Oryzias latipes: one gene and its partners. The protein of the gene in region 1 interacts with the protein of each later gene in a pairwise test. Links are inferred from orthologs where the notes say so. Each region holds a gene or a part of one and is shown in the gene's direction. Other genes may lie near its edges.

What was found.
Region 2: the proteins of rpia (region 1) and pcmt1 interact in binary tests that used the Homo sapiens proteins (3 or more experiments, as listed by UniProt). The two-hybrid records come from large-scale screens. The link is inferred for Oryzias latipes from reciprocal best matches to the Homo sapiens genes RPIA and PCMT1.
Region 3: the proteins of rpia (region 1) and stk16 interact in binary tests that used the Homo sapiens proteins (3 or more experiments, as listed by UniProt). The two-hybrid records come from large-scale screens. The link is inferred for Oryzias latipes from reciprocal best matches to the Homo sapiens genes RPIA and STK16.
Region 4: the proteins of rpia (region 1) and ptpn11 interact in binary tests that used the Homo sapiens proteins (3 or more experiments, as listed by UniProt). The two-hybrid records come from large-scale screens. The link is inferred for Oryzias latipes from reciprocal best matches to the Homo sapiens genes RPIA and PTPN11.
Region 5: the proteins of rpia (region 1) and atpaf2 interact in binary tests that used the Homo sapiens proteins (3 or more experiments, as listed by UniProt). The two-hybrid records come from large-scale screens. The link is inferred for Oryzias latipes from reciprocal best matches to the Homo sapiens genes RPIA and ATPAF2.

Annotation. Positions count from the first base shown.
Region 1 is NC_019880.2:22,089,691-22,094,625, reverse strand, and holds the start of rpia (ribose-5-phosphate isomerase), read left to right. Parts: upstream 1-1,907; 5' UTR 1,908-1,956; coding exon 1,957-2,121; intron 2,122-2,875; coding exon 2,876-2,936; intron 2,937-3,104; coding exon 3,105-3,160; intron 3,161-4,935. Other genes in the region: uncharacterized protein LOC101171122, read right to left, coding at 1-1,274, 1,357-1,501, 1,765-1,800. UniProt on the Homo sapiens protein: Catalyzes the reversible conversion of ribose-5-phosphate to ribulose 5-phosphate and participates in the first step of the non-oxidative branch of the pentose phosphate pathway.
Region 2 is NC_019882.2:17,708,224-17,712,974, reverse strand, and holds the start of pcmt1 (protein-L-isoaspartate(D-aspartate) O-methyltransferase), read left to right. Parts: upstream 1-1,563; 5' UTR 1,564-1,725; coding exon 1,726-1,903; intron 1,904-4,129; coding exon 4,130-4,234; intron 4,235-4,317; coding exon 4,318-4,349; intron 4,350-4,751. Other genes in the region: nucleoporin Nup43, read right to left, coding at 1-46, 963-1,085, 1,267-1,386. UniProt on the Homo sapiens protein: Initiates the repair of damaged proteins by catalyzing methyl esterification of L-isoaspartyl and D-aspartyl residues produced by spontaneous isomerization and racemization of L-aspartyl and L-asparaginyl residues in aging peptides and proteins.
Region 3 is NC_019861.2:14,422,751-14,426,365, forward strand, and holds the end of stk16 (serine/threonine-protein kinase 16), read left to right. Parts: coding exon 1-60; intron 61-395; coding exon 396-524; intron 525-647; coding exon 648-769; intron 770-1,134; coding exon 1,135-1,273; 3' UTR 1,274-2,898; downstream 2,899-3,615. UniProt on the Homo sapiens protein: Membrane-associated protein kinase that phosphorylates on serine and threonine residues. In vitro substrates include DRG1, ENO1 and EIF4EBP1. Also autophosphorylates. May be involved in secretory vesicle trafficking or intracellular signaling.
Region 4 is NC_019870.2:1,422,653-1,427,606, reverse strand, and holds the start of ptpn11 (tyrosine-protein phosphatase non-receptor type 11), read left to right. Parts: upstream 1-1,678; 5' UTR 1,679-1,946; coding exon 1,947-1,960; intron 1,961-4,954. Other genes in the region: transmembrane emp24 domain-containing protein 2, read right to left, coding at 1-61. UniProt on the Homo sapiens protein: Acts downstream of various receptor and cytoplasmic protein tyrosine kinases to participate in the signal transduction from the cell surface to the nucleus. Positively regulates MAPK signal transduction pathway. Dephosphorylates GAB1, ARHGAP35 and EGFR.
Region 5 is NC_019877.2:3,256,008-3,260,881, forward strand, and holds the start of atpaf2 (ATP synthase mitochondrial F1 complex assembly factor 2), read left to right. Parts: upstream 1-1,821; 5' UTR 1,822-2,065; coding exon 2,066-2,189; intron 2,190-2,275; coding exon 2,276-2,320; intron 2,321-2,417; coding exon 2,418-2,566; intron 2,567-2,647; coding exon 2,648-2,745; intron 2,746-4,200; coding exon 4,201-4,281; intron 4,282-4,404; coding exon 4,405-4,517; intron 4,518-4,632; coding exon 4,633-4,748; intron 4,749-4,874. Other genes in the region: gid4 (glucose-induced degradation protein 4 homolog), read right to left, coding at 1-98, 170-271, 363-470, 821-880, 1,266-1,457. UniProt on the Homo sapiens protein: Plays a role in the assembly of the F1 component of the mitochondrial ATP synthase (ATPase).

The DNA of each region.
Region 1 (4,935 bases):
GACAAAGAGGTGCCACTTCGCAATGGCTTTATGGTTGCAGGACTGTGTTACTATTGAGCACGAACAATGCCAGCTGTTCTGTTTTCTGTCATACGCAACTATCAATCGGCCCACACGACTATCACATGTGATTTCTGGCTCATAGACAGAGATATGGATTTTGGATGGTGGGCCGCCCACAGTCAGCTGCACAGAAAGGGGCACCTCCTCCGCATCTGCCTTCCTTTTACATTGCAACAGACTGGCCTTCTGCTCTTCCCCAAACCATTTCTGCTCTACCATCGTCTCCAATGCCTCCTCAGATAGAGTGACATGCTGGTTGTCGGCTCGTGGGCAGTACAGTAGAGATCTGACGTGGTGGCATTCGTAGGGCGGCATCCCACTTGTGTGGGCAAAGTCCCCGTTGAGCCGGCACTGGTCCACCTCACACACAGTGACGGGACTCGCCCCCCAGAATTTCTTCACAACATGCACAGGCTTTGCTGAACCACAGAAGGATTCCTGAACAGCAAACACGCCATTTTTTTCATCCACACACTGGCTGGATAGAAATCTTTCCATGGAAACTGTCTCAAAATACTGCTTGTGCTTCCTCTTGCAGTGTGTTTTGAAGTTTTTTTTTTTTAAATTCAAACCGCAGAGATGACAAAGAATTGTCTGCGTCCGACACATTTCCTTTGGGTTTTTTTGCTGCTGGGGGCGCTCTGAGGGATGTGGTGGGGCCGGGGTTTGCTGCCATAGAAGCTGTGCTGGTTGCTGCAATGGGGGCTGAGGTGGGGACAGTGGGGACTGCGATGGGGGCTCTGGGAGCTGCGATGGGGCCAGCGGGGACTGCGATGGGGCCAGCGGGGACTGCGAGGAGGGGTCTGGGAGCTGTGATAGGGACAGTGGGATCTGCGGTGGGGCCAGCGGGAGCTGTGATGGGGCCAGTGGGGGCTGCGATGAGGGCTCTGGGAGTTGTGGTGGGGCCAGTGGGGGCTGCGATGAGGGCTCTGGGAGTTGTGGTGGGGCCAGTGGGGGCTGCGATGAAGGCTCTGGGAGCTGTGGTGGGGCCAGTGGGGGCTGCGATGAGGGCTCTGGGAGTTGTGGTGGGGCCAGTGGGAGCTGCGGTGGGGGCTCTGGTTTGACCTCTAGCAGCCATGGAGGATTTCCTACGTGGTGCGCTCCCAAATGTTTGAAAAACTGTGACCTGTTGACCAATGTTGCCGGACAATGGCAACAGTGAAAGTGTGACGCAGTCCGGCAACCTAAACCACACTTGATGACTGTGAATCCTAAAAGAGGAATGATGGGAAGAACATACTTCATGACTTGTGACTTGTGACTGACAGTTTCCATTCAGAACCCAGACTGTACCTTTGTGTTTGACGGACGAATGGTTTTCCATGTGGTGTCTCACAGCATGCTCTGCGCCCTTGTAGCGGCAGAACGGACAGTGGGAAGAACCGTTTAGGGTTTTCGGCGTTGGTTTTTCATTGCCCAATAAGACTGTAACGTGTCTCTGTAAAGAGAGGAAAAATACAGGTGGAAAAAACCGGAAAGTTTCACCTACATTGATTGGAAGACACAAAAAAGTTGAACATCATCATGATGATTACGAAAGTCCCGAGGAGTAGAGCCGCAATTCTAACTTGTAGTTCCGTGTGAAACCTGAACTACGTGGATATTACGACAGAAAAAAGCAAAAATACAAATAACAGCCTCATCCGTGAGGCGAAAATGTGTCTTATTGTCATGAATGCCCGTTTGTTTGTTGATGCGTACCTCCATCTTGCAGTTCCGTGTTGTGTCGCTGCACATGGACAATCTGACTGCAGCGAAGAAGAAGAAATGGAATCACGTTCTGTGGGCGGAGCCCAACGCGTTTAGCCCCGCCCACGTCGAGGCACACTGCCCACTGCAGCGAGGGGTAGTCGTCTTGGGGAGGCTCTCTTGCGCTTGCGGGAGGGGGGTGTCATGAGGCTACCAGGGTTCGTACCACTCCTCTGCGCTCCACCCTCGCGGAAGCTCCTCGCGCTCTCCAGTCACCGGCACGTGCGCTGCTCCCGCGAGTCTGATGCTGGCATGGCAGAGGAGGCGAAGAAGCTGGCCGCCTACGCCGCCGTGGACAACCACGTCCAGGTACCCTAGTCGCTGTCCTCTGAGCGAACGCGTCCGTTCGAGTCCTGCAGCAGGAGAGTTTGAGACGACGTCACGGCCGTTCAGCTAGTAGTTCCGGCGCGCGGCAAAGTTAGCAAGTACAACATTATCTAAATACTTTAAAGCGACTTAGCGCGGCTTTGCGCGGGCTTGTCCCGCTTTGAACCGCACTATGGTGCTGCAGCTAGGAAACATTTAGGGTGAAAAGGAAAACAGGGGCATGAGCGGTGTAGAAGTTAGTCTAGGCTGGAATTAACGGTGTTGTTAGCCATAAGTGTGGGGGGTCAGAGGTCAGCTCCTCCGACCGGGAACGGGAGCCCCCGTGGGCCAGAAAAGCGACCCTCAGGTGAAAGGTGAACCTAAACACCTATTTTAATTTCAATAAAAACAGTATCAATGTTATTTTTGTTTTGCTTGGACTTTCATGTTAATTATAGATTTTTATATATAGATAAAATGTGTTTTTATGAAAAATTTCACTCTCTGCAGCTTCTTGAAGCGTCTTTTCCAGCCAACATTGCTCCTAAATGTTGCCTTGATGTGTGTCTGAAAGACATTATTACAGTTGTAAATCACTAGCTTTTCTGTTTTTAAAATGTTCATGTGACTTTACCATTTATTGAAACATGAATATCATACTGAAACCTGATGAATGGGATTTAAATTAAAAATCAAACTGGATTGTGATCTTGTGAGCTGAATGGATTCAGACACCACGCCTCCTTGTTTTCTGTAGAACAACCAGGTGGTTGGAGTGGGCAGTGGATCAACCATTGTGTACGCCGTGGACCGACTGGGTGAGCGCCGTTGAACTGTTCATGTCTGTGTCCAGTGGGAGGAGCCTGCTTGCAGCCGCTGGTGATGGTTCCATTCCAGCAGCTGTGACTGCAGTCAAAGAGCAGAACTGACCACTTGGCGTTCATGGGTCCAGTGTTTATGTGGCCTCCGTTTTGTCTCTGTTGCAGCGGAGAGAGTGATGCAGGAAAAACTCAACATTGTGTGTGTTCCCACCTCCTTCCAGGTGAGTGGATGTGCTGTTGTGATCCGCTTTCATCGCTTTTCTTTTTGCTGCGAGTTTATTTTCTCAAGTTCCTCCACTCGGACCATTTGTGTTTGTGAAATCAGGAAACTGGCGCGTTGCACTACGACAGTTAGCACATTCTTTGCATGTGTTGCTACAGACCTCTCAGATCTTTGCTAAATGCAACATTTCAGTGCAAAGTCCTGCTTTGCTTTCTGCTCGATTTTTTTTGGGGGGGAAACTGCAAAACAGAATCAATGTCCACACGAACTCATGGTTTCTCACCCTTCAACGCTGACCTCAGCTGATCATCATCTGCAGATGCTGCACCCTTTGTGGGTTTGGGCAAAGAATTCACTAAAGATAGCTTCTCCTGTAGAAGTGTTTGAATCTGGCTCTTCAAACCTGCTGCTCCTACTCTGACTCCTTTTAATTACCCAGTGACACTTCAGTTTAAGTTTACTTACCTGGTTACTGAAGAAACAAATGTAAAACACTGCAACCTGATGCGTGTCTCACATTAAAGCGCAGCCAGAAATGCAACAAAACAAAACAGTTTGAACCAAACAAATTACAAATTTAATTACAAACTCTGAACATCAAATGTAAAATATAAATAAAAAGAACAAAAAATAGTTTCTTGTTTCTTCATAACTCCACCCCAAAAAAAGATCTATTTCTTCTTATTTAACTTCTACTTCTGTGTTTTCTGGTTGTTTATTTAAATGACTTTTCTACACACAGATTAGACCTGGGCCATGTGGCCAAAAAAATAAAATCTTTTTTTCACTCCATAACACTTTTTTTTTTCTCCGTCCTTTTAATTTCTTTAACAAAAATTACAAATGATGGGATATATTCAACAAAAACTACTTAATTTTAACATCACCTTTAAAAAGTAGGCTCCAGCACAAAGTTCAGCTAAACACAAAAGCTGTAGAAATGTCTGCAGATCCATTTTTGGGAGCTGCAGACAGCTGGAGCGTCTGATGAAGAGAAACGCTTCTCTCTGAACAGAGTTTGTTTCAGGTGTTCAAACAAATGTGTCGTCCTCCCACTTTTGTCAGCTACAACCTTCAAACCAATTTTGCTGTGTGTGGACAAATTGTTACACTACACAGAAAAACTATCGGTGTCAATTAAAAACAAGGAGGAGTGCAGACAGAGAGGACGTCACAACATGGAAACAACTGTTCAAAGTGATTTCTAATCTGTCAGAAAATAAAATGACCTTAAAGAAATCTATAAATAGGATGAACACATCTTTAAAAATAAAACATGGACAGATTCACTAAAGGGCAGCAGATTGAAAGAAAATGTATCTTTTTCCTAATTCTGCGGCTCTGTAATGTTAGATGTTGCTAATAAAGTTTCATTCACGTCTGTTATTGTGTTTAGAAAATACAGTTCATCCTCCCCGTCTTAAAGTCCGCTCTGTGTAAATATTGTGTCACTTTAAACCAGTTTGTGGTCCCAGTCTGGCGACACTCGGAACAGCTCGTTAGCATAGCATGATCGTAGCATGTTAGCATCAGGGTTTAACATCAGCGCCGTCTTCAAACCGACCCTTTTTTTTAAGCTTTGATGCTGCAGTGAGTCCAGCAGCTTTATTCTGCAGGTCTGTCTGGATCCTGCTGAAAGCTGACGCGTGTTCCACTGCCCCATCAGCCGAAACCAAGCGCTACAGAGACGCAAACAGAAGTTACAGGGGGTGGGGGGGTGCTCTACGCGTTACATGCGCTTATAAATATTACACAACAAGCTTCTTTTTTTCT
Region 2 (4,751 bases), on another chromosome or scaffold:
CTGCTCCCGTTGATGACGCTGAGACCATCCGTTCCTGGTCCAAGAACTAAAACATGAAACAAAGAAAAACAAGAAAAATTACTTTATCCAAACAATGTACACATTTAAAATCATTTAAAATTAAAACCTATTGTAAAAACATTCCCAGTGTTTTTTTTATTATGATTATGCAGTTTTTAGCAAAAATCAAAAACCCTGTGTTGTTCCTTAAGACATAATTTCTGCAGAGCAACAGAAGCTCATTAGAAATTTGTTTCTGGGTTGTGGATGGGACTGTTAGCGTGAAAGTGACCCTACCATGATTTCCCAGCATTCCTTTGTTTACACGCTTTCCTGCTACCTAACAGCCGCTCACAACCCCAATCTAACATTAGCGTAGCACAAGAAAAAAAAACAACCTGCCGTACAGTTTAGATTTAGATTCCAGCTCAGACAAAGGAAAACAAAGACGGATGTGGATCTATTTGTCTGCGTGCGGAACAGGGAGACTTTGGCCCGCCAATGGCAGTTGCTGCATCGCAAACCGGGTCCTTATCCATTACAATTTAAATAAAAAAGTCCTCGTAAATGCAGTGCTAAGCTTAAATCCTTTTGTCCTCCATGATGAGAAAAATGCTACAAAAACATGTTAAAAACACACATATCTGAGTGAACCATCCAACATAATAAAGTGGGAAAATCCAGAAGAATTGAACAAAAATGTAATCAAATAGTTACACAAATTGATCAAACATTTGGGTGTGAGCTTCTGAAGGATCTTTATGACTTTATAACTGCTGACACTTATTTGACATGCTGAATAATTTTAATGACAGAAAAGGGAACATTTAAAATTTCGTTTTGGTTTTGTGCTCATTTCTATTTTTCATTTAGTTTGTTTATAGGCCTAAATAAAGAAATGGCTCCACAGATCAAACATCAACACCGATGATTCCGTCATTAGAAGCTTTTGGGTTTCTTACTTGCAGGTCCAGAACATCTCCGCCATGTTTGTGCTCACATAAAATTTGTGGGTCTCCTTCAAATCCGTCTTCTAATCCAGAATTGTTGTGATTTCCAATGGACCAGATAGACACCTTGTTGTCCTATAAATCAACGGGTTTCACATTAAACTCAGTGAACATTTAAATCACGACGACAAATGAATCAAAACAATTTTTTAAAGTGTATTTAAATAATTTAAATTAATAAAAAAAATTGAGTTAATTAGCAAGCGATCTTAATAATTTGTGTGGTTTTGCGCTAGTAGTAGTACTACTAGCTAACCTCGTTGTCCCACGAGCCCGTAGCAAAGACTTCTGGTTGTTGCAGTGAAGAATAGGAAACCGGACACCATCTCGTCTTACTGATTTTCTGAGACACATATTTGGCATTTATGCTCTCCATGGAAATTGAAGCCTTTTTGTTAAAATTTGAAGTGTTGTTTTCAGTTTACGGACTACACGAGAAACTACGCGCCTGCTGCTTCATACGTAACTACGGTGGCCCGAGAAGACCAGATCACAGTGTGCTATTCTTCTTTAAATTAATAGATAATCTGTTTCCCCCTAGCGGCCGACTTCTTTATTACCCAACAATTCCAATAAAGCAGAGACAGAGGAATTCCCTCTTTAAACTGACACTGGGCTCAGTACGTATCTAATTGGGTTTGTATTTTATTAAACTGTACGTGTTTTGTTAAAAGGGAGTGTATGTGAAAGGCGGCCCGGTAATAAAATCATTTGGATGTCTGGTGACGTATCCGCTCCGCCGTCTCCGCTCGAGGTTGCGAGCTTCATCGGGAAAACTGTTGGCGCAGGCGCGGCACTGACAGCTGCTGTCTACTTACTCCGCAAAGTCTGCTTAATAATGGCCTGGAAATCTGGAGGAGCCAGTCACGCAGAACTTGTCACCAACCTTCGCAGTGAGTCTTGTAGCGTTTTTAAGGTGGCATCGGCAAGCAATTCACCCGCGCGACGCTGGAAAACTGTTTTCGGGCGCGTGCTTGTTAGCGCAGGTGCGGTAGCTAGCTGGTTGCTTAAACTGTTAACCACTGTTGCCCCTAGTTTCTCCACCCCCTTTTTTTTTTTTTGCCAAACCACGTTACGCCGTGGGACACGCGCGCGCTTCTGTCATTTTAGATCAAAATAAAAGCACTAAACACCCAAATTACATAATATTTGCATTAAATATTTAGGGTGTATTGTGATGTTAGCCCGGCCAGCTAGCTATGTATGTGCGTCATGTAGGAGCATGTAGCTAGCGTTAGCAGCGGCGCTAGCTGTGTGCCCTGCCCACATCCATTGATGTCTGTCTGCACTGGCCACTGCGCTGTCATTTCACTGACGAGAACAGTTTAAACCGTAAAGCTCGACTCTGGAAACCACCCTTCTGTTGCACGAGACAGAAATTCACATTTGCTGTGTCACGATAGCAGCTAGCAACATCGAAAGAGCGACTTAGTGCCAAGTCCAACTCGGAATAAATGGTAATGTCATTTTGACACTTAGCCTTTTTGTTCATAATAAGCCTTTAAGCCAGTACATCAACTTATTTAATGCTAATATGTGAATTTAATACGATATTTGCAGACTTGAGTGTGCGTCAACATTCACTGTCAAGTATTTGCCAGCTCTATTTATACTCTCTGTGCTGTCAGGGGTATCATTGCTCGCTTTTTTGCCCATAGCTGCGTGTTTAGGAGGGCATCAGTCTCTATATCTGCTTATCTCAGTCCAGACATGTTTGCTTCCGACTAGCACACTTCATTTGGATTGAAGCAGACCACATGCAGAAGGCATGCTGATCAGTCTGCCACCTCTGGCTGAACCTTTCAACCCTGCAGGCTTTTGTTAAGGACCTTTTGTGGTTATATTGGCTTTATGCAAATAGGTACAGTTAAAAAAGTGATCATGTGGACTGTATATAATAATGCTCAAGAGTTTTATCATCTTATTTTGCTAATATTTTACATGTGCATTCTTAATATTTAAGTCTTCATTGTTCATTTTTTCTGCTTGGTGACAATAAAGCTTTTGATTGTATTCCAAACATAAGAAATCGAGCTCATGTATCTTCCTTAAAGGGTCATGAAAAATCAACTTTTTTTTAGCTTTTAAGTGTATTATAATGTTCATTCTTCACTGTAAACAACCTCAAAGCAGTATTTTGATCTGTTCTTACATTTCTGAGTATTCCTCTAAAAACGTCTTAGGTTTTCAGAGGAATACTCTGTGTGTGTGTGTGTGGGGGGGTGTGTGTGTGTGTGTGTGTGTGTGTTTGTGTTTGTGTTTGTGTGTTTATTCAGGAATACACACACACACTTTCTGCGTGGTGCCAGTGGTGATTGGTCAAAACACGTTCCTTTACTCTGCACAGTATGCACATCCATCCCTGTAAAGGTTTGGATGTTGTTTGTTTTCCTGGGAGACTCAGACACGCTGCCAAGGCCGGCTCTATGTTGAGGTCATGCAATGGGCGACACCCACACAGAGAGAAAGGCGGAGCCTCAGAGACCAAGTCGTCTTATTTCCGGGTTGGAAAATGAAGTGTGAAAATAACTCGTATTTCATAAAAAGATCATTCTTTAGTGTGCCAAAGGTAATATATTATCATATACATGGATATAGTTCATTGTGAAAGTATTGGAAAAGCATGAAATAGGCCCTTTAATCCACAAACTACAGTGTAAATGCAACCTGTTTAGATAAGTGTGACTGTTCTTTTGAGTGTTAACATTACAACATCTAAATTTTATGTCCATAATTCTGTCCCGCTGCAGTCCATGGTCTGCAAAGCCAATATTGTTTTTGCTATGCCGCTTTCTTACTGTGCCCTGTGTTAACATTTCACACCAAGCCTCTTTCAGCTGTGAGTACATGCACTAATATCGGGTAGCGACAGTCCAGTGTGAACACATGTGGCAATAGGGCGTTCAAGAAGGCCCGTTTAGCGCGTTCTTCAGGTCACATCACATGCCTGGTGTGTAGGTAGCATAAGGAATAAGGTTTATTTGGATACCAACCACTCCATGTTTGTCTGATTTAACTCAATGCGTTCATTCGTGTGTCTTTCTTGTTGCATATTCGTCTGCAGGACTGTGTGGTTCTCTTCTGCCTCACTTTTGACAAAAACTCTTCTGCATCCTCAGAAAATGGCATCATCAAATCCGACAGGGTGTACGAAGCCATGCTGGCCACAGACCGAGCACACTTCTCCAGGTGTAACCCCTACATGGACTCGCCTCAGTCCATAGGTAGGTGCATGGACGCCATAGTTTGTGCACTCTGGCCTGTTTTCTGAGTGATCAACGAGCCCATGTTTGCTTCTAACCAACAGGTTTTCAGGCCACCATCAGCGCCCCACACATGGTATGAAGGTCTCCACCTTCCAGAGGACTCTTTGAGAAAACCTGAACTCATCTGGACTCAATTATGTCTATATATACAATATTTCAATTCAATTCTTTCACATTTTCTTTCAAATTTCTTAAATACAAAACTGGTTTTACATACAGTATTTTAAAGCACACTTAAAAGCCTACTTTTTTTTTTTAAATCTACAGTGCATCTTATAATCTGGAGCATCTCATATATGATTAATTCTGGTTGGGTTTACTGATGTTGAAGCGATTTTTAGAAGTAGACGGTGCTCTGTCAAAATGTTTGGTTGGGTGTTGTTGTAACTACGCTCAAGCAGCTAATGTTTAGACTGTTTTTTTAGGTGTTACTAACAAGGTTGTGACGTCACAGAACGTTTGTTTTAGTGATATC
Region 3 (3,615 bases), on another chromosome or scaffold:
GATGAGAATAACAAACCGTTACTGATGGATCTGGGCTCCATGAATCGTGCGAGAATTGAGGTGAGCGTGTAAAAAGATTAAACACATTTAACCAACTACATTTAAAATGCACATATACAGTACATACTGTTATTAAAATGACAAAAACAGTTAAAAGAACGTTAGTAAACTGTCATTATTGAGTTATTCATCCTAGAAAACAGATGAATTTCAAAGATGTACAAGTGCTTCAATGGTTGACCTTGTTCTCCCTCTGGATGTGAAAATCGTTTTTTTTAGTATTTCTTAGCAAACCAGCTTTAAATGTCAGCTATTTGTTTAAAAACTAACTTCCTCCTAAACCTTCACATCTTTAAATGAACCTTTACTTTTAATGACCCATTTTTCCTTCCCAGGTGAAAGGATCCAGAGAGGCCATGACCCTACAGGACTGGGCGGCCCAGCGCTGCACCATTTCCTACAGAGCTCCTGAGCTCTTCCACGTAGAGAGCCACTGCATCATAGATGAGCGCACTGATATCTGGGTAACGTTGCAAGTCCACTGTCCTCAAGGACTCGTACCTGCCTTTTTCTGGAGCAGCTTTTTCTGAAACCTCTGGAGAAAATGACTGAAGCCGGCCTCTCCTTTGATTCTGCTTTTCCTTCAGTCGCTCGGCTGTGTGCTGTACTGCATGATGATGTTGGAGGGCCCTTATGATCTGGTGTTTCAGAAGGGCGACAGCGTTGCTCTGGCTGTCCAGAATCCAGTCAGCATCCCGCCATCTTGCAGGTCATTATTGGAGGGTTTTGTCGATCTGTTAACCTCCTTTATTCCTTTCAGAAGTTTAAGAAAAGAAAAAATATTTTGCTGACGTTTTTAGTGCTTGTTAAAAAAAAAATCAAAAAAATAAACAGACTTTGGATTTATTTTGGAAGAAAAACTTGCAAGAAATTTCTTATGATGACTATAAAATGAGGGTTTATGGTCACCAGTGGCATTTAAATGCTGCTGTCACTAAGCAGAGTACACCCAAGCTAAAGTGAATCCCCTAACATGCTGGGTTTTTGTGATTCATGTCACGTTTTTTCCCCTCAGTATAAGCTAAATTGTGAATGGAGGATGTGTTGGCTGATATTCTCTTGACCTGTTCACAGGTATTCATCAGGTCTGCAGGTGCTGCTCAGCTCCATAATGGTCTCAAATCCCCAAGAGCGACCGAACATCAGTTGGGTGCTTGACCAGGTTCAAGACCTGCAAAATCGCAGTCCGAACACCGAAACCAACATGGTCTGATCGGATCCACTGTATGCAGAGACCAAACCTTTACACGCCTCAGTGAACTTCTCTTTTTTTGTTTGTTTGAAGAATTAAATCTAAAAAGCTGGTTTTCCATGGGACGGTTGGCAACAAAAGCCTCATCCTCCACTTTATCTGATCAAAGCTTTCTTTTAGCCTTTATTTTAACTCACTAAATTATTTGAAGAATGTGAAATGCCTTAAATCTATAAATATTTTCCACAGTGCAATTATTTCTGGTGATGTCAGAAAAAAAATGCTTCTTTTTTTGGCAACCTTTATTTTGAAAAATCTGTGTATTTGTTCTTCCTGAGACCTAAATGAGGTGCTGCTCATGTGTCTGATGGCTCCATGTGTTTTGGATCCACCTCACTTTAAAATTTGCAGTGGAGACAGATTTGACCAGCTTTGTTTGAAAGCAAGAGAATCAAATCCAAGCATATTTATGTGGTTGTTTCGTTTCGGTTAATTCCGTGGAGAAAAGTGAAGAAATAATTCAGTGAATGCAAGAAACTGCAACTATTTTTGTCCCCCAGATGGAGCAAGGCTCACTATTATCCTTTTTATTAGTTCTTCTAAGTTGACGTCTACCCTCTAGTGGCAGCAGCTTTAACAACTATTCTTCTAAAAATGTATAAACTTTTGTTTAAAGTAGTATTTTTAGATTTTGATATGAAACGAAAACGTACACATTAAAGCTCTGCTTTGGATTTCGGATTACTTTCACTTCTGGGCTCATGTAATTCAATAATTCAGTTTTATTTATTTAGCCCACCATTACAACACGGTTGTGTCAATGAGCTTTAGTAATTGTACATAACATAAATGAGTTATAAAATACAATAGCTAATTGTTCGTTTACTCCTTTAGGGATTAATTTTAGGAGTTAAATGCTGCTCACTTTGTCTTTTATATTTCAGGAAGCTTCTATGTTCATTCCAGTGACTGTTCATGTTCTGTCTAGAGGAGCACCATGTTTATTCTTTTATTTAAAAAAAAACAAGGCTGTCCTTCGATCACAATTGTTACAAACTGTAACATCTGTTTATTTTAAGTTGGAAATAATTGAGGGAATATATTTTTCTGTCACTTCACTTTGTATTGTGTTTTTAAACAGTCTTTTCCATTCCACTGATTCCTGTGTTTTATTCTTGTTTTCTTTGTAATAATCAGACTTGTGTTCTCTCAGGGTTCTCCCATAATCCTCTGGCTTTCGTTTCTGAACCTAAACTCTACCTTTAAAATGTCTTGACAGTAAAAACCTTTTGGGCATTTAAATTGAATGCTTTTTTTGTGACTGTAGTGCAGTAATTTAGGACTGTTTGACCACCTTTAAAATATTCTGCTCAGTTAGCTTGTAGACATCATATTTGAACTGTATTTTGGGAGTACTATACAATGTTTGAGGATACTATGTGTTATTGCAAAGTTTGGATTTAGCCAGTATAATGAACTGTTGTGTTGTTGTGAACCGCAAATTGAAAAAGGTTTAATGCTGCATCCGAAAGACAAAAAGTTCTATTCGTATTGGTAAAGGTACCAGATATTATTGTGTGCTTTTGATGATGATGAAAAGTCCTTTATTCATATTTTAAAACACAAATAAAGAGAAAATATCTACACACCTGGTGTGAGTGGTTATTTAAATATGATGGTGCTTTTAAAACCTTTTAAGTAAAGCAAATTAAAGCTTTAAACAGTTTGTTGAATATATAAACTAACTACGGTACAAATGATAAAAATCATTGTATTTAAGATTTGAAGGGCTCGTAGATTCACCTGCATTTTCTAAGCAGTAGTATCCAGCTGCCACAAGTCAGTGCTGTTGCTGTAAAGGCCTCTGGGATTAAAATGAAAGCAGTTCCACACAAAAACCTTGACCTTAACATTTCAGCTGTTTGCTCTCACACATCCTTATAACACTATGTTAGCTGAATTACCTGCTTCTTTTTTTATTGTTGCAGCTGATTGTTGTGGATTCTCTTCGATCTACAGCAGGGGTGCCAAACTCATTTCCACCGAGGGCCACATCAGTATAGCAGCTGTCCTCAAAGGGCCGGATATAACTTATACATGTAACTAAATGTAATGAAACATACATGTAACTACTCCTTAATGTTAAACAACTAATTTATTTATTTATTATAACTTTTGAAAGTGACAATTACAGTTGCATAGAAAACATATGTTTGCTTGTTACTCTATCATAAATCCTTTTAAATTTGATTCTGTCAGGTTAGATTATATGGACAGTGTTTAAGTCCTAATGTATAGTTGCCCAATCTGATATTTCAAGGCAGATTCCCCCTATATATATATATATAAATACACACCAATTT
Region 4 (4,954 bases), on another chromosome or scaffold:
AGCCGGACGCGGTGGCCGTCAGGACGGCCAGCAGGACGACCAGCTCCGAGGCGGTAAACATGTTTCAGGCAGAGAAAGACGCGTCCGGACTGTCCGGCCCTCTTTTCCGAGGAGAATCCTGCAGGATGGAGGTACGTGGAGGAAGAGAGGCTCCGCAGGAAAGGAGCTGCACCAGCCTCGGCTGCTGTACACCGCTCTGAGACTGCCACGTAAGGGCTTACAGGACAGCAGCTCGAGAGGGACAAACTTAAGAAAAGCGGTCCGTAAAAAAAAAAAAAAAAAGATTTCTAAAGTCGAACCTGGCTTTCTGCGCATTCTTATAAAAAACAATTAATTAAAGTATATCTTCAGAAAATACATGTAAAGATTCAGTAGTAGTTGTCTGAAGTTTTTCCCTCAATAATCCTTGAAAACCATATGGTGTGAGTTATCTTTGAGGCATTTGAAAGTATAAAAAATATTTTTATGTCTTTTAAATTGTACATCTTTTACATCAGTACATCCACGTGTTTGCTTTGTATTTCTCTAATTCTTCTTAACGGTTTCTATAATTTCGTCTTTTTATAATGACTCAAACTGAAGTCTAAAGTCAATTGTGGTGGATAAATATAATTAATTTATCATAAATCCATTATTGAAAATATTTTGATTTATAATGTAGGCTTTGACTCACTTTAGCATGTCTCCAGAAAAAAAAAAATCTTCAGAGTTTATCCAATTTAATGCATGTGCATGTTTTGTAAATGTATTTTTGTGTTCAAAAGTTCAGTGTCGTGCGACTGTTTTTGTGCACATTCTTGGTTTTCACAGTTGTGTCAAGGAAAATGTATTTATTTGTTGGTCAAACTGCAGGAAAAGCTGGACACACAAAGTGGTGTTTCAATAATTATTTTTGAGGATTCAGTATAAAATTTCATCTTTTAAAGAAAGATACAGTAAGGAAACTGGTTTTAAAACTCTGTACATATAAATATATATATATATATATATATATATATATATATATATATATATATATATATATATATATATATATATATATATATTTTACTAAGACACATTGTTCTGGGATTATTTGCTTCAGGAATAATCCACCTATCAACGTTTTTGGATAAATTATCGTATTGCTGGAATCTTTGTCAGTAAAATCTAAGGATTCACTGAATATATGGAGTTTGTGAAATTGCTGCTTTCTTCACAAAAGGATAAAAATAAACTTTCTGAAGGTTAAGAAGCAAGACAATTCAAATATTTTTGGCACAGCTTCCGTCAAATTATAATTTATTGAGTAAAATAAAATAATTTTATTTCAGAAGTGTACCTTATTGTCTTTGCAAGGATAATAATGGTGTCTGATTTAAATCATGGAAAAATGTTTTAACCTCCCAAAAAAGTATTTTTTTAAATAGAATTGTGACATTTGGACGTTCAAAAGTCGTCATAATATTCCAGATGTTTTTTTTAAAAGATCTGGAAAATAATATATGTATATAAGAAAACAAAAACAAGACACAAACTTTAGCATTACATCCTGCAAGTACTCTCGTAGTAAGACTTTGGGGTTAGCTTAATTTATGTCCCGCTTTATGCCGGTTGAGGGGAGCTCTTCCCGTCAAACCGGTTACTTCCGCCAGGGCGAAGCGCGTCGAGAAACGGGAGCTCCAGGTGTCCAGATCCGCGTTCTCTGTTTTGTCGCATGTTTGGTGACGTCCAATAGTTGCCGTGAAGTCTCCGGACCGAGGCCTACGGACATTTCCCCCCGAAGCGGACGGCCATTCACGTTTCTGCGGATGCTTAAGTAGTTTCTAGTGCCCGTTGTGATCGGGTTTCTCTGTTCACCGATGAAGCACTTTATTGATTGATCAAGGCGGGAACGATCGGAAACCCTAGCTAGCTAGTTGAAGCTAGCGCTAGCTGCCAGCGAGGAAGTGAGGAGGGGGAAAAAAATGACATCTCGGAGGTAAGAGAGGCTTGTTTGGGACACAATTTAAGCGCAGGCAGGGACGTTGGAGTGAACCCAGATTCACGGATCTGCTCGGTAGTCGAACCCAACCGGACCGACGGTTCTGGAACAGCCCGAGGGCAGAGGAGCCGCTGTTGTCCGGGCGTTCAGTGAAGTTCCACACCGGCGTCTGGAGCCGTTACTTAGTGGACGAGTCGACAGCATTTCTGCTGGGGTGGAACTTTAGGTTTTTCACAAAAGTTTATGAAAACGATCGAATAATCAGGGAATAACTTTAAACATAGAGTTACTTTAATCCATAACATGTGATTTATGTCAGTGTTTTGGTTTGTTTCTGCACATTCGGCGTTAGTTCACCACTTTAATGGTCATTTTTCCAAATAAAGAAGTTTCAAATTCAGTCATAAATAGATTTCCTGCCAGCTGTTTTCAGCAGAGACTTGAGTCTCTCATGCAGGGAGACTTGTGATCAATGCTCACTTTTTTTGGTTTTTATTTATACCTCTGGGACAAAAGAACAACAACAACCTTTTAGTGCAGAAAAGCTAAATGTGTTTTCTTGTGCTTGTTTTTCAACGTGCAATTTGCGTCTAAGAAGAGGCTCATTTTAACCACAACTCGCTGGGAAAAAGTGACTTGTGAGCATCTTTGGTTGAGTTTCAGCTGATTTGATGAGAAGCAACAGAAAGGAAAGAGGAAAACCTTCCGTCTGCTTCATCTGACACATTCCACAGAACATCCACAAGACGGAAGCGTCTGGCCGCAGAGGCGCCGTCGCAGCCAGGCCTTTGCTCAAGCAAAAAAAAAAAAGTGTTTTTGATCAGCAAACAGGAAGAAAGTTTGGCTGAAACACCAGCGTGAGGTTTAGCGTTGAAGGCACATGATCTATTTAAAGTTTCATTAGTCAAAAAGGCAAAGACGAGGCGGATCGTGTGCAGAGAGGAGGCCAGAAACGCAGACGGGACCAGACGCAGACGCAGACGGAACCAGACGCAGACAGAGACGGGACCAGACGCAGACAGGACCAGACGCAGACGGGACCAGACGCAGGCGGGACCAGACGCAGACGGGACCAGACGCAGACGGGACCAGACGCAGACGGGACCAGACGCAGACGGGACCAGACGCAGACGGGACCAGACGCAGACGGGACCAGACGCAGACGGGACCAGACGCAGATGGGACCAGACGCAGACGCAGACGGGACCAGACGCAGACACCCAGTCAAACTGTAGAAAACATGAAAAATGAATTGGAGAGGATGCAGAAGCCATCCTTCTCATTCAGACAGGGGCTGCAGGATATGAGGAAAACTCGCAAAATGCAATTTTAGTGATATAACTTGTGATAAATGAACAAATATAAAAAAACCAGAAAAACATTTCCATTTCACTGCATAAGTTTAACTTAAATTAGAGTCAAAATACCTTCAATTATTCTCCAAACGACCCTCGTCTAATTAGGAGGGCAACAACCTACATTAAAGCTCCATCTGATTGGTCAAATGCATAAATGGATTGATTTGATTCGTTAAATACTTCAAGCTGCCATAAGATTGTTTTAGCACATAAAATGTTTACTATTTATTGCGTTTTTCACCGACTTTTGCGATATGGAGATCGCACAGCTTGGAATCGCGATATCGGTAAATTTTTCAGACTGTTTGACTGAATTCTTTGGCTCTGAAATGAGGCCTTTTCCTGCAAAATCCTCCTTGAATTTCTCCAAAGAAAAGGATAACCTGGTCTTCAGGTGACTGTCCAGTATGAGCGTGTTCTGCTCACGGCGGAATGACCATTTATTGAGATTGTTTGCTGCTATTGATGGATCAGTTGGTCGGCGTTGTTCTGGTTTCCTCTTTTTCACGTTTGGTTTTTCTGATCATCAGATCATTTTTGTGCAGTTATTTTATCATGAAGTGGTATTTATGCCATCACGTTGCAAACAAAACTTTCTAAGTTGCAAATGAAAATATTAAATATTTGCTTTTAGATTTTTCAAAAAAAATTCTGCCATAAAATTTTTTTTTGGAATTTTAATTTTTTTTCTTTCAATTTTATTTTGCTTTCAAAAAAATATTTATGCGTTAGCGACACAAATGTTTTGCGTTGTGACTCATCTCGCTTTTTTCCTATCTTTGATTTTGCTCTTATACGTTTCAGTTTAGCGTGACAAAGCTGCCATCAAACATTTGCTGATTGGTCCAGATTCTAACCAATCAAATCACCGTATTTGTCTAACATGGCGTCTGCTACCAGCTCTGTTTACCCTCGATTTTGTCTCTCTGATTTAAGAAAATGTCATTTTTAATCATTTTAAAAATAATTCACTTTCTTTTTCCTCTGATTTTGCATTGATTATTTCCTATTTAGTCAGATTTGTGAATTTATGGCTGATTTCATGAAACTGTCAGATAAACGGTAAAGTTTATCTGCGTCGTGGCATAAATATTACTCCATATTTTATAGGCCCCACAAAATAGATCATCAATTGACGGTCATGACGATCTCAGCCTATGCGACACGCAAATAGGCAAAGATGGTGTAAACTGCTAATGGCGTTTACCATAAATGTTTAAACACGTGCTAAAACAGCCTCATTCATCGCAGATTTGAATATTTCTAGAATCAAACGGAGCATTTTACGCGATGGAGCCCTTTATTGTTAGACGCCTGCCTTATATGGTCGCGTTTGCAGAATAATTGATGTTAACTTTCAGTGAAAGGGAAAGGATGTGTTAGTGTGTTGTGCTTTTGCTATTTGTTCATGTCATCGCAATATTAATCCCTATAGTTTTCCTCACGTCGTTCAGCCCTACTTTTTAAATAAAGCACAGATTTTTTTAAAACAAACTTCCTGTAAGGTGCATGTTTTGAAAGCCAGGCCTTTTTCCTCGTCCGTCAGCGCCGGCGCTGTTGTCCAGCTGATGGGGTTTTCGTGGTATTTTATTTGGTACTTCAAGTTATAACCTGACCAATCAGATGCCTCAAC
Region 5 (4,874 bases), on another chromosome or scaffold:
ATTGTTGCCGTAGATTTCTGAAAGCAGATGTAGTAGAATCCTGCAAAGGAGGCGCCGCTGATGTCTTTGATGGTGTGGTCAGGAACTAGGAACTGCTCCTGCAGACAGAGAGGAGCTAAATGAGAGCGGCTGCATCTTGGAGTTCACTAGCAAACAGGTCGAGGCTTACCTTCCACCTCATAAAAATATAGTCCGAGTTCTTTAGATCCTCGTAGTCGAACTCGTCAGAGTTAAAAGTCTTCGCATACCGGTAGAAAGCCTGGAACTTGCCCTTGGTGCCAAAAGAGAGCGCATATAAAGTTACGGCGAGACGGCCACGTCGCCGCGGACGCCGAGCGTGGAAAAAGTGTCGTCTTACTTACCCAGTGCTTACGATCCACGTCCTCGTCTGCATCCCACTTTCGGGTGAGGAACGGCCTCTTCCTGCTGATGATCTCCCCGGCGAAAAAAGTGGTCAGGGTCGGATATTCCTACGAAAATGTGCAACTGGATTATACCAACAATCTTGTTTTGTAAACTTTACAGCGTTAAGGCTAGGTTATCGCTATGTATAAATCATTAATAGAAAATTAAGACGTTTAAAAATATTCTAAGCAAATCGATCCCTTAATTAAAAATATCTGCACTTCAGAGGCAGAACAAAACAAAAAACTATGTAGAATTATTTGGCTCACGATCAGTTGGACTAATATTTAGTCATTGCAAGAAAAATTACACAAAAGGTGGAGGAAAAACTTGCAAAAACATTTAAAATTCTAAGTCCAGTTCATCCACATGTACATATTCCAACATGAATCCTCTAAATATGAACAGAACTGACCTCTGTGAGTCCTTTTATTTTCAAATAGCCACACAAGTAGGAATCCTCCATTGTGACATGCTGTAACAAATAATAAACAGAACTTTTAGGTCAAATCTCCACTGAATTTATGTTAAAAAAAATAACAAAAACAAAACTTGACGGTCAGAAGCTGCAGTTTCTCAAAAAATGTCAACAGCCCCTAATGTTGCAACATTTAAGCTAGTTGTGATAGTTTGTGTTAATTTAAACTGGTAGAAAATTGTGCAGCTGGTTGTTGTTAGTCGGTGTTGTTTGGGCGCAGTTGCTCTGCTACTCCCACCACTACACCCACAGTTGGTCCAGGACAGGCCGGGACCCCCTTTTTTTTTCAGCTGTCACTCTTCCAGCCGCCACTTTGACACATCACCCGAAAGCCTCGCGCTCGCAGTACGAAAAGCAACATTTCCGCCTCGGTGCCCCCCACCTGTAAGACCACCTCAACGTCGTAGGAGTTCCCTTTGCTTTTCTGGTGGCCTCTGAACTTGGAGCCGCTGTACAGCAGCGACGTGACAACACCGGGCTGGTGAGTGTTTATCGGCGGCAGCGGGATAAGCGAGGCCGAGGATGCAAAGGCCGCGGCCGGGAACTCGCTGAGATATCCAGCGGGGACAGGCATAGCTCCAGCTTCGCAGGCTGAACTCCAACCGCGGTCAACGGCCGTGCGGCAGCGGGACTCGGTCAACCTGTACGACCAGCCAGAAAGAAAGTCCCGAGGAGGTCCTCAAACATTCAAATTGCTCTTAATTGCGCCACAGTTCAGTTTGCGAAGCATCAAGCTCCCCAGAACTAAAAGTGGACTTCGAAGCTGCGCTGTAACCAGTAGCAACGGCTTATCTCATTGGTCCAACAACTTCACCCTCGAAGATCGTCGACGCTCATTGGCTGAGCAGGCGGAAGAGTATTCGTGAACATTTTTGATGTAGTTTTTAAGTGATGTGTAAGCGTTAGCAGTGCCAAAAATAAACTACATTTCCCAAAGCATGCAATGAAAACATTTTGTAGCTTTGTAGCATCGAAGGTCACACGCGTGGTTTTGAACCGATGTGTTACTGTAAGCTAGATGAAAACCTTAATGTTTAACAACAGATTTATTGTAGAGTCAGGTTCATTATACACTCAAGATCTGTTTGTTCAATGTGGTACTTTAGTGCGTGAGAGACCGGCTTAAGAAATCGCTAGTGAATCGTCTTTTTTATTGTAAACAGTATACGTCCAAATTTAGGTATGAATATGTTTAGACGTGTTTTTCAACTTCGAAATTCCTTTGGAAATGTAATTTCAGTTTGCAAGTCGTGTCCCAGTCATCAGTACTCCAAGTGTTTGTCAAAATACTCCACTGCATCTACAGGTAAACGTGTTTATTTTGACATTACTATTATTAATTATCAATATGCTGTGTGCTAATCATGTGCTACATGTTTTGCTATTTGACAGAGAGGAAGAGATTTTATCAAGATGTCAGCATATCTCAAGGAGATGGTGAGTCTTATTTAAAATTTAAAATAATTTTATTTATTGTTCCAGGGAAGACCAAGATTGATTATATTCTCTAATTTTGTGACGATTTTGTCCATAGATGGTTTGTATGAAATAAATCTGGATAGAAGGAAACTCAAAACTCCAGGAGGGAAGCTGTTCACAGTACCAAATGAAGCCCTGGCTATCGCCGTGGCAACAGAGTGGGATGCTCAGAGGGGGACACTCAAGTTTTATACCATGCACCTTGTATGGGATATTTTTTCTGACCTATTTACACCACAGTGTGTAGCCAGCCGTACTCATATGCCGGTTGAACTTTTCTTGCAGACCACTTTGTGCAACACGGCTCTGGACAACCCCACCCAACGCAACAAGGAGCAAATGATCAATTCAGCGTTGAAGTTTTTGGAGACTGACACGATCTGGTATGGATTTAGCTTTTATACTGTTTCTGTCCAGAGTTGATGATTATTTGGCTCATTTATGCCGGTTACTCAGTTTAAAAGATAAAACACCTGTATTTCAAATCAATATTTTACTTGAATGGAGAAAAAATGTTCTTAATCTAGAGAGAAAAGCAACAAGGACTTCAAAATAAAAGCACCTAACAGAAATACCAAAACAATAGAAAATTCAAAATTAGGTTTGTTTAGATAAAAAGTACCCAAACAAATCCTGGACTTGTGAGATGCAACTACATCTAATATGTTTTTTTTTTTTTCTATTTCTCTTTGTAAAAAATAAAACGTTATCTGCCATTCTGTGCTCTTTTTTTGCAATTTTTTTTGCAAATAATAGTCAAAATGCAATTACTTTTTAGCTTTTTGAAAATGTTCGAACCTATTAATATAATTTAGACTTTTTTTTTCATTATTATAAATTATACTTGTATAATGAGATATATTGTTTAACTGTCAACTATGTATTAGATAATCCCTTTAGTTCTTTAAATTTATATATTACATATTTATTTATTTCCCTTGTCTTTTTAACTTTTTACACATATTTAAAAAAAACTTATTATCTTATTCAGAATTTAATTTAAACATTTTATTGTGGTCCTGAAATATTCAACTTCTTTACACTTGTCTGCTTAATTGTTTTATGGATACCTTAGTAGTTTTAGCAAACAGATTTGCATCAGTCTTTTATTTACAATTATTATGTTTTAGCTACTTTATTGTGTAGGTGTGAATTTGTAATACATTTATTGGCACTATATATCTTTTTACATTTTCTATTTACTTTAGCATATTAGCTTAGGATTTAGCAACGTTCACTTTCTTAATTTCTTTAGCTAATTAACAATTTTATTTTACTGTTTTTTTGTGTTGATCCTTTTGTTATTGTGATTATTATTAATAATTATGCAGTGTATTTTTAGTTATCTCCCTTTATTTGACTAATGTAGCATTTTGCACTAAACTGTAATGCCACTGTAAAAGAAAGCAGATGTTTTTAGCTTATTGCAGAAAACTAGCATTTTTGTTTATGGAAATAAAATAAAAGAAATGAATTTTGGAACTTCTATGAATTTCATATACTAGATATTTGCAGGAGAAACTTTTTTTTCTCGGTCCATTGTCAGATGATTCCAGACTCCAAAGCATTAAAAATAAAGAATTACTGTGAAAATGAATGCAACAAACTTTTTCTTTGACCTAATTTCTTTAATAGGACCATCATTGTCTGGCCAGTAAAGTGAAAGCAAGGTCTGTTTTGTTTTCACCGGAGATGGTTGCCATATACCTGACTGTGGAGCAGGCTGTGCTGCTCTCTTATAGCATCTGCCATTTGGCTGCCTCTTTTTTTTAAGTTTCATTTTCAGATTAAGTTACCTTGTTGTCACAAAACAGTGATTTATTTATGCTTTGATTCAGTTACAGAGTGGAGGATCCTCCTGGTTTAGTGGACCTACAGAAGAACGAGTGGGATCCGGTTCTGCACTGGATTGAAAACCGGTAAAAAAAATAAAACAAAAGCATTAATCTTCACATCTTGTGCAGTAGACTTCCAAATGATGTAGGAACTGTCTCAGTAAACCATACATTATTATGCATTTTCTCTGTACTATTGCATGGCAGATACAATGTCACTATTGGATCTTCATCGAGCATTCTGGGTCCTGAAATTCCACAGGCAACCAAGGAAACTTTTCGACAGCATCTCAATTCTTACAGCCTCTGGTCCCTGACGGGTAAGACATCTCAACTCCAGAAAACGTGATCATCTATAGATCTCAACTTGTGCAGGCTGAGATGATGTATTTATTGTTTTTGAAATGTTTAAGAATTGTGTCTGTTTCTTTGCAGGACTTGAGTTTGTGATCTCGCAGCTGAAGTCTATTTTGCTTTCACTGGGGATGGTTGACCGATACCTGACAGTGGAGCAGGCGGTGCTGCTCTCCAGACTGGAGGAAGAATACCAGGTGGGAAAAGTCCATTTGATTTACCATCAATCTTTTATAATATTTACTATACTAAGACTTTTTTGTTTGATTTTTGTCTGTTTTAAGAAACAGATATTATTCTATTAATACAATGATATCTAACTA